Linked DNA regions of Bombyx mori. The protein of the gene in region 1 purifies or fractionates together with the protein of each later gene. This does not show direct contact. Links are inferred from orthologs where the notes say so. Each region holds a gene or a part of one and is shown on either strand. Other genes may lie near its edges. The genes, in order: apoptosis-inducing factor 1, mitochondrial; thioredoxin-like protein.

Region 1 (3,827 bases):
GTTTTTACGGATGTTCCGTTATAACTATTGAACCATGTATCCGATTGACTCGAAACTTGGTATCCATGTAGGAAAATACATGTACTTAATGGATAGGGTAATATTTATATGAGTGTTGGCCTCCCTACACCAGCTGCGGGGGCGTTAATGATGGGAATCTTTGTGGGGTTGAAAAATAATAATGTTAATTTTAAATGCCCAGCGAAGCGGACTGGTACAGATAGTTTGTCATGTAATTTTTGTTTTATTTCACGATACAATTTTTCCAAAACAGAAGATGCACCAAAAAAGAATGTTGGGCCAGTACGGACACCCATCCCGGCGTCTGCGGATCAGCTCCCGCGACACGTACAGTTCCTGCTGGTCGGTGCTGGTACTGCCTCGTTTGCAGCCATGAGGGCGATACGCAGTCAAAAACCCGACGCCCAGGTAAAAAATATTCGTTATTTAAATTCAAAATTTCAAAACTCGAAGTCGTCGTGGCCTAAAGGATAAGATGTCCGGTGCCATGTTGAGCGATGCAACGGTCGGTGTTAGAATCCCAGGCGGGTATATCCTTATCCTTATCCTTTAGGCCACGACGACTTCTAATGTTTATTCTAATCATTGAAAACACAGGGTGACTAAGGGTCGATTCGACCAAACAAGAGTAAATCTTATTCTTAGAATAACTCGTCAGTTAATCGAGAGTAAATCAATTTTACGTTTTACCAACTACAATTCTAAGAATAGTGGGCCTATTCGGGAATTGTTACTATACCGCCGTTTCGCACGGAATAACGGAGCTATTCCTAGAATAAAGTAATGGCGTCTGTCAGTCCAACATCTGATTTCTGTCATTTCATAAATATTTATTCTGTTTTAATTTCAAGTCAACGCAATGCACTAAATGATTATTAATAGTCTGAATGCAACGTTTAAACGAAAAAAGATAAAACCACACGACAAAACTTGACAATTCCCTCAAACAAACAAGAAATAAAAATAATACGTTTGACAGCTGGATATCTTACACAACAGCTACTTTTTCACACTAAAATACGGCAAAATCGAGTTGACGATTTGTATGCTCTTACACTATGCCGTTGAACAACAACATTTATTTGCCGGATTTTATTTTTGTTCACCATTCACTCTGCTATTCGCTTATTGTTATTCCTAGCGCAACTATACGTGGAAAAACGACTATGAATTTACTCGAGATTAAAATCATGGAATAGGTTATTCCTCGTATAGTTACTCGAGTTTAAATTTAAGTTTGGTCGAATCCGCCCTAAGTGCTAGAATTAGAGTGGTGGAACCTATATAACAGTATGTCTGTGCCGGGTCAGGTGCTGATGGTGGGTTCGGAGTACCAGCTGCCGTACATGCGGCCTCCGCTCACCAAGGAGCTGTGGCGGGAGCCAGACCTGGACAAAGTCACAGACCTCGACTCCTTGACCTTTAAACAGTGGAACGGCAGGGTGAGAAGGTAAGTAAGGTACTTTAATTATTAGATAATGAACTTTGATTTGCTGAAATTAAAAGCGGTCTTTTTTTTAATGCTCTTGTAGGCAGACGAGCATACGGACCGCCTGGTGGTGGGTGGTTACCGTCTTTAGCAATGCTAGGGGTTGAGCCAAACCGCTGCCTACTGTTAAATCTTAACTCGTAAGTGAATGTCTTAAGTGAACATGAGATACAGATATTATTTTCTGTTGATTATATAATCTCTTTTTATTTTTTTCTTCTAATCATATCTAATCATATCTATCATTCTAATCATAATTTCACCATCGTAACATGAACTATTAAATTTTTTGTGAGTCTTTTTTTATTTTATTGCATATATGGGTGGACGAGCTCACAGCCCACCTGGTGTTAAGTGGTTACTGGAGCCCATAGACATCTACAACATAAATGCGCCACCCTCCTTGAGATATCTAAGGTCTCAAGTATAGGTACAGCGGCTGCCCCACCCTTCAAACCGAAACGCATTACTACTTCACGGCAGAAATAGGCAGGGTGGTGGTACCTACCCGCGTGGGCTCACAAAAGGTCCTACCACCAGTAAAGTCTCGCTAGGGCAATTCCAGTTTTGTCGAATTTATTATATTCGGTGCTAGCTGGTGCTGCCGACTCGGTATTGATGGTGGCACGGCACCAGTGGGGGCCGCTAGAGAAAGTGGTAGTTTTCCAATTACAGAGCATAATGCGACTCAGTGGCGCACAATGCCGAATTATGCTGAAGCTTAATTGGAACGTGAATTAGTTTTCAAATGCATCAGCAGAGTGCGCTAAGTTCAGTGTTGAAAAAAAATATTCATGGAGTTTTCAACCTCATTAATGTATAAATAATGTGGTAAACAATAATAATTGGTTCAAAACGATTTACGGTTATTTTAAGTAATTTGGATTTTTATTATTTCATTAAAATTTTTTTGTTGATATCGGCCACTACAGACAACGCTACACCATGCTTACTTTCATTTTCTGGGCCTGAGAAGTACACAGTATGGCCTTTTGGGGTAGTATAAAAGCCCGATCCTCTCATATGTGTTTCCGTAATTCCCAATATTTTCAAGTTGTAGTGTGCTTGCTCTTTGTCTAAGATCTCTCGTTTTCCGGGTTGGAGCATGCCTCGGACATTCCAGGTTCCAATTTTCATCTTCTTGCGAAGTTGTGCTCGTTGATCCGCTGTTCTGTCACCAGTAACATTCTGTCCGCACTGTGCCTGGTGAGCCGCAGCAGGGTGGCCAGTAACATATTTCACACCGTGTGACCTGGACTCGACACGGCGCCGGGTGGTAGCCGGATCGCATACAATCTCATTCTGTACTTGGTCCACTTTCATAGGATTACTTGGGAAAACTAGCGCAGTGGTTTCCCCTTGCCTTCTGCGCCGCAGTGATGTTGGTTGTGGTAGTCAGTACGCCCTGCTGCCAACGACTGACCTCCGGTGTAAAGTATCTATAAATGACCGGAGTCCCCCTCTCCTCCCGTCTGCTTGTCGACCTACGTTTCCAAAGGGATTGGATACCGCAATCTCAACGATAGGTTACTCGACGTAACAGGGTTCACCGCGAGTAGGTGGGAGTGGAGATTGGAGTGGAGAGGCTAGGTGGTTATTCTTGTTATATAACCATATATTACGCATCACACATCCTAGAACCCAACATTAGTCTCAAACTAAAGAGGTGTAAACGAACATCTCTTTCGACGCAGAGGAGGCTCGACCGCGGTGAACTGGCAATTTTCAGGGAACGTTTCGACATCAAATCGGCCAACACTATTATGGACCATAATGACATTGACGAAAACTGGAACAGATTAAAGGCCCTAATCCTATCGTCGCGTAATGATTCCCAGAAGAAATCGGCAGATGCTCCGAGGAAAGAGTGGATAACAGAGGAGACGTGGAAGGCTATCAGAGAGCGAAAGGAACTACTCATAGGCAATGTCGAATCTGCTATTACAGATTACCGCGAAGCCTCGGCAAGAGTTCAACTGCTCTGCCGTAGGGACTATAATGATTACCTTAACTCAATCTGTCAGGATATTGAAGATCATGCGCAGAAGTTTCAAACCCGAGACATATTTTTGAAAATCAAAAACATCACGAGAGAGTTTAAGGCAAAAACATGGGCTATAGAGACTGAGGAGGGCAAGCTATTGAGTGAGATAGATGAGATAACGGAGAGGTGGCGATCGTATTGCGAAAAATTGTATGCCGTTCCTGCAGGACAGGATGGAGAATCCCGAGTGCTAGAAATAAACTACCGGGAACCGGAGATTATAGAATCCGAAATCAGAGGTGCCCTGCATAAACTTAAAACGAATAAGGCAGC
Region 2 (4,610 bases), on another chromosome or scaffold:
GTGTTTACGTTCACACGGATAATGACTTTGGCAATAGAACGTATTGTTTAAGACGTCGAATTGGAATTTTGGTTAATGTCGTGATTGTGTATTAGTAAATACTAGAGGTCCCGCAGTAGTCGAAATTCGACTATAATTAATTGGAATTGTAAGTTTGTACACTATTATGATTGTATTTTATACTTCTATAATCACAAATTTCGCCAAGACTACACTATAAAAAATATTAACAAAGACAATGTTTAATCTATTCTCAATTTGACAACAGACGCCAAGAACAAAAGTTTGACAATAAATAGTATGCATGCGTGTGTGCGTCAAATACATGGTATGTAGTGTGTGTAATGTTTTCTTTATTGATTAAATGTATCTTTTATGCATTATTTTAAAAATATATTAGCATTGTGCATTTCTTCTCTATATTCTCTATAAGTGTGGGGAATTTCATACTCCTCCGTCCGCGCAATTTTCATAAAAAGGAATACAAAGTTTTTGCTTCACGTATTAATATATAGATATGGCTGCTATTTTATCGTAACATCTGAGCGAGCAGTTCTTATAGTGAAGACGAAAAGCCAAGTCAAACGAACGACCAGACTACAAAATGATTTAATAAATTAATAAACGTATAATTTTTAAAGCATATAGTTAATTTTACAATTAACCTAATATCTTAGTACTCTTTAGTGAATCCCTATTAGTTTTCTTCAGTGGACGAGTTCACGGACCACCTAGTTTTGAGTGATTATCCTGTAATACGTACTTTTATCCACTCACATATTTTCTCCGCGTGTCCTAACGTGCCTCATTTCCACTACAGTCATTGCTCCCATATACGTTAGTGAAAATGAAAAGTTTGAAGTATTCGAAACTTAAAAAACAATATCGAGGGGTGTATCGGGTGAGGGGGTGGTTGTAACCAAAAGATCCGTTTTATTTGGTATTAGTATCAAAAAGTTCGATGTTTTTTAATTGAACTTCAATTAAGCTTACTCCATTCAAATTGCTGAAGTTTTTTTTCGAAATGTTAAATTTTTAAATGGCTCGAAAGTTGCAAAAATGACGCGCTTATACCAAACTAGCGGCCCGTTCCGGCTCCGCTCGGGTCTTTGACAAAGATTTCGATGATATTTGACGTTGTTTTATTTTTTTAAATAAAAGCACACTTATTACGGCATAACTATAATAGTTAGACATATGCTGTCGCGACACTTTTTGTAAATAATAATGTGTTCTACAAAGTCGTAGTATATTATTTTTTTCTATCATCAATAGTTGTCGCAGGGCACGCGATGTAAAGAAAATTTTAGGTAATCTTTTTACTCCTTGGGTTACATTATTGGAGTTTTAGTAAGGATCCCTAATCAAAAAACATTATAGCTTATGTAACTCGGGATTAGTGTAGCTTCCAAACAGTGAAATAATTTTTCAAATCGCTTCAGTAGTTTCGGAGCCTATTCAACACAAACAAACAAATTTTTCCTCTTTATAATATTAGTATAGATAACCCCTTCACATCTCTATATGTAGTTTAAAAAGATCTCGGCTTAACTATATAGTTTTAACGTCGCTTGTCCACAGCCCAAGATGTCCATTCACATCAAAGATTCCGACGACCTGAAGACAAGGCTGGCGGAAGCAGGCGACAAGCTCGTCGTGATCGACTTCATGGCGACCTGGTGCGGACCGTGCAAGATGATCGGGCCTAAACTGGACGAGATCGCCGCCGAAATGTCAGATTCCATCGTCGTTGTGAAGGCGAGTCCTTTTTTTTTCTACCTATCTATTTGCTGGTAGCCTAAGGATCTTATTTCAGCTACGCGCGGACGGGCAGGTGAGCCTCACGGGCACAACTTGAGGAATTTGCTAACAGCCCTAATAAGAACAGTGCTTCGCTGAATCTACCACCGGATCGGAATCGCGACCCACTGATAAGTCGTCGTTTGAAGTCGTGGCCTAAAGGATAAGACGTCCGTACCAATTGTTCTAATGAAATACGTACTCAACAAATGTTCACGATTGACTTCCACGGTGAAGGAATAACATCGTGTAATAAAAATCAAACCCGCAAAATTATAATTTGAGTAATTACTGGTGGTAGGACCTCTTGTGAGTCCGCGCGGGTAGGTACCACCGCCCTGTCTATTTCTGCCGTGAAGCAGTCATGCGTTTCGGTTTGAAGGGTGGAGCAGCCGTTGTAACTATACTGAGACCTTAGAACTTATATCTCAAAGTGGGTGGCGCATTTACGTTGTAGATGTCTATGGGCTCCAGTAACCACTGAACACCAGGTGGGCTGTGAGCTCGTCCACCAATCTAAGCAATAAATTTTTTTTTGCTAAAAGCCCTAATTAGAGCAGTCCTTCGCTAAATCTACCACCGGATCGGAATCGCGACCCATTGAGAAGATCCGGCGAGAAACTCAGCGGCTCAGACTAAGCTAGACTAGATAATAGTATCTTTTTCATTCTAGAGCTCTTACCGAGGACTTGTAAATATTCTAGTTATCTTTATAACCATGCCCGAATCGTAAATTGAAATAAACGGGTGTTCATTAAAAATAAACCTTTTCTTCAAAACACTTGTATGTAAAGCAACGCGTCTTATATCTACATATCATTCTTAATATACTAAAGCCTACGTAATAGTTTATATGTTGTCATTGTGATAGCATTCACGCTATCTAACTCGGTAACAAATCTCAAAAACAATTATTATACGAAAGTTAAGATGATTTCTATTTCAATAATTTCAATAATATCTTGAACACAACTGACGACAACTGAGAAATTTGAAAGACCTCTAACTTAATCAAGTCTAAAAGGATTTACCTACAAATTCACCTCACTGGTGGTAGGACCTCTTGAGAGTCCGCGCGGGTAGGTACCACCTCCCCGCCTATTTCTGCCGTGAAGCAGTAATGCGTTTCGGTTTGAAGGGTGGGGCAGCCGTTGTAACTATACTTGAGACCTTAGAACTTATATCTCAAGGTGGGTGGCGCATTTACGTTGTGGATGTCTATGGGCTCCAGTAACCACTTAACATCAGATGGGCTGCGAGCTCGTCCACTCAACTAAGCAATAAAAATAATAATAATTGGATTGTCGAATTTAAAAATCTTCGTACAATACTTGTGTGCGATGCTGTCAATAATTTAAATCAAAATATTTTAAATCGGCAACTGCTTGCTTTGATATTACATAGTTTATATATATATAAAAATAAAATGTTTCTAAAAAAAAACCCAGCAATAAATGTTATCAGAATTGTAATGTTCACTTAAACGTTATCAATAATGCCGCGATAATTTAGTAAGATTGTAAATATAGTTTGGTTGTTATCACGAAAACGTCGATTGCACGCGACCGCATGAGAATCACTACAATATGTAACTTAAGAAATAAACTTATTTGTCGAAGTACATTCAATTAACATTATTAACAGTTTCGTATCTTTGAAAGTCGTCGTGGCCTAAAGGATAAGACGTCCGGTGCATTCGTATGTAGCGATGCACCGATGTTCGAATCCCGCAGGCGGGTACCAATTTTTCTAATGAAATACGTACTCAACAAATGTTCACGATTGACTTCCACGGTGAAGGAATAACATCGTGTAATAAAAATCAAACCCGCAAAATTATAATTTGCATAATCACTGGTGTTAGGACCTCTTGTGAGTCCGCACGGGTAGGTACCACCGCCCCGCCTATTTCTGCCGTGAAGCAGTAATGCGCTTCGGTTTGAAGGGTGGGGTAGCCGTTGTAACTATACTGAGACCTTATAATAATAATAATAAAATAAAAATAATAAAAATCATTTATTGCCTTTCACATCACAGAAAATAAAATGAAATACAAATAAAAGAAAAGAAAAAAAAGAGAAAAAGGCAAAAGGAGGTGGCTCAGCTATTGCTGTTCGAGGTTGATAAATCGAACAGCGCTGATTTTCAGTCACCCCCGTTTCCCCTTGGTTCTTTGCGGGAATGAAGGCTAATTACGTGTGTACATACTTAGAATATGGTATAAATTAGTAAAACTAGTAAATTATAAAAATTTAAGAAAAAAACAAAACAAAAATCAAATTAAATATTGAACCCGAATACATACATATATAACATAATAAGCACACAGTAACAACACCCCGTAGGCAGCCCACAACGAAACAACAAATAAAATAAAATAAAGCACGATAATACTATTACTAATACTGACAAGCAGCACAACATTTACACTTGTACATAAAAAATAAATAAAAATAACTTTAATAAAAGGAGGTTTTCAAAAGCAAGGATAAAACTAGTTCCTATAAATACTATAAATTAAATTAGTTTTTGTGAATCCAATAGAAATGATTTAGAACTTATATCTCAAGGTGGGTGGCGCATTTGCGTTGTAGATGTCTATGGGCTCCAGTAACCACCTAACACCAGGTGGGCTGTGAGCTCGTCGACCCATCTCAGCAATAAAAAAAAATATGTAGAAGTATGTAGAAATTAATCAGAATCTTTAGAAAAGTTTCTCGGGTTCTTCTAAAAAGACTATACTAGCAAATTCTCTCAGCGTTGAACTAACAAGTAATTTCATTTGACTTTTCCCCTAAAACATACGGCTT

Evidence for each region.
Region 2: the proteins of apoptosis-inducing factor 1, mitochondrial (region 1) and thioredoxin-like protein purify together in Homo sapiens (affinity purification with mass spectrometry; 3 studies listed by BioGRID and IntAct, with this or other methods). This does not show direct contact. The link is inferred for Bombyx mori from reciprocal best matches to the Homo sapiens genes AIFM1 and TXN.

Annotation. Positions count from the first base shown.
Region 1 is NC_085120.1:1,553,726-1,557,552, reverse strand, and holds part of apoptosis-inducing factor 1, mitochondrial, read left to right. Parts: intron 1-274; coding exon 275-429; intron 430-1,331; coding exon 1,332-1,471; intron 1,472-3,827. UniProt on the Homo sapiens protein: Functions both as NADH oxidoreductase and as regulator of apoptosis.
Region 2 is NC_085130.1:3,051,945-3,056,554, reverse strand, and holds the start of thioredoxin-like protein, read left to right. Parts: upstream 1-1,587; coding exon 1,588-1,758; intron 1,759-4,610. UniProt on the Homo sapiens protein: Participates in various redox reactions through the reversible oxidation of its active center dithiol to a disulfide and catalyzes dithiol-disulfide exchange reactions.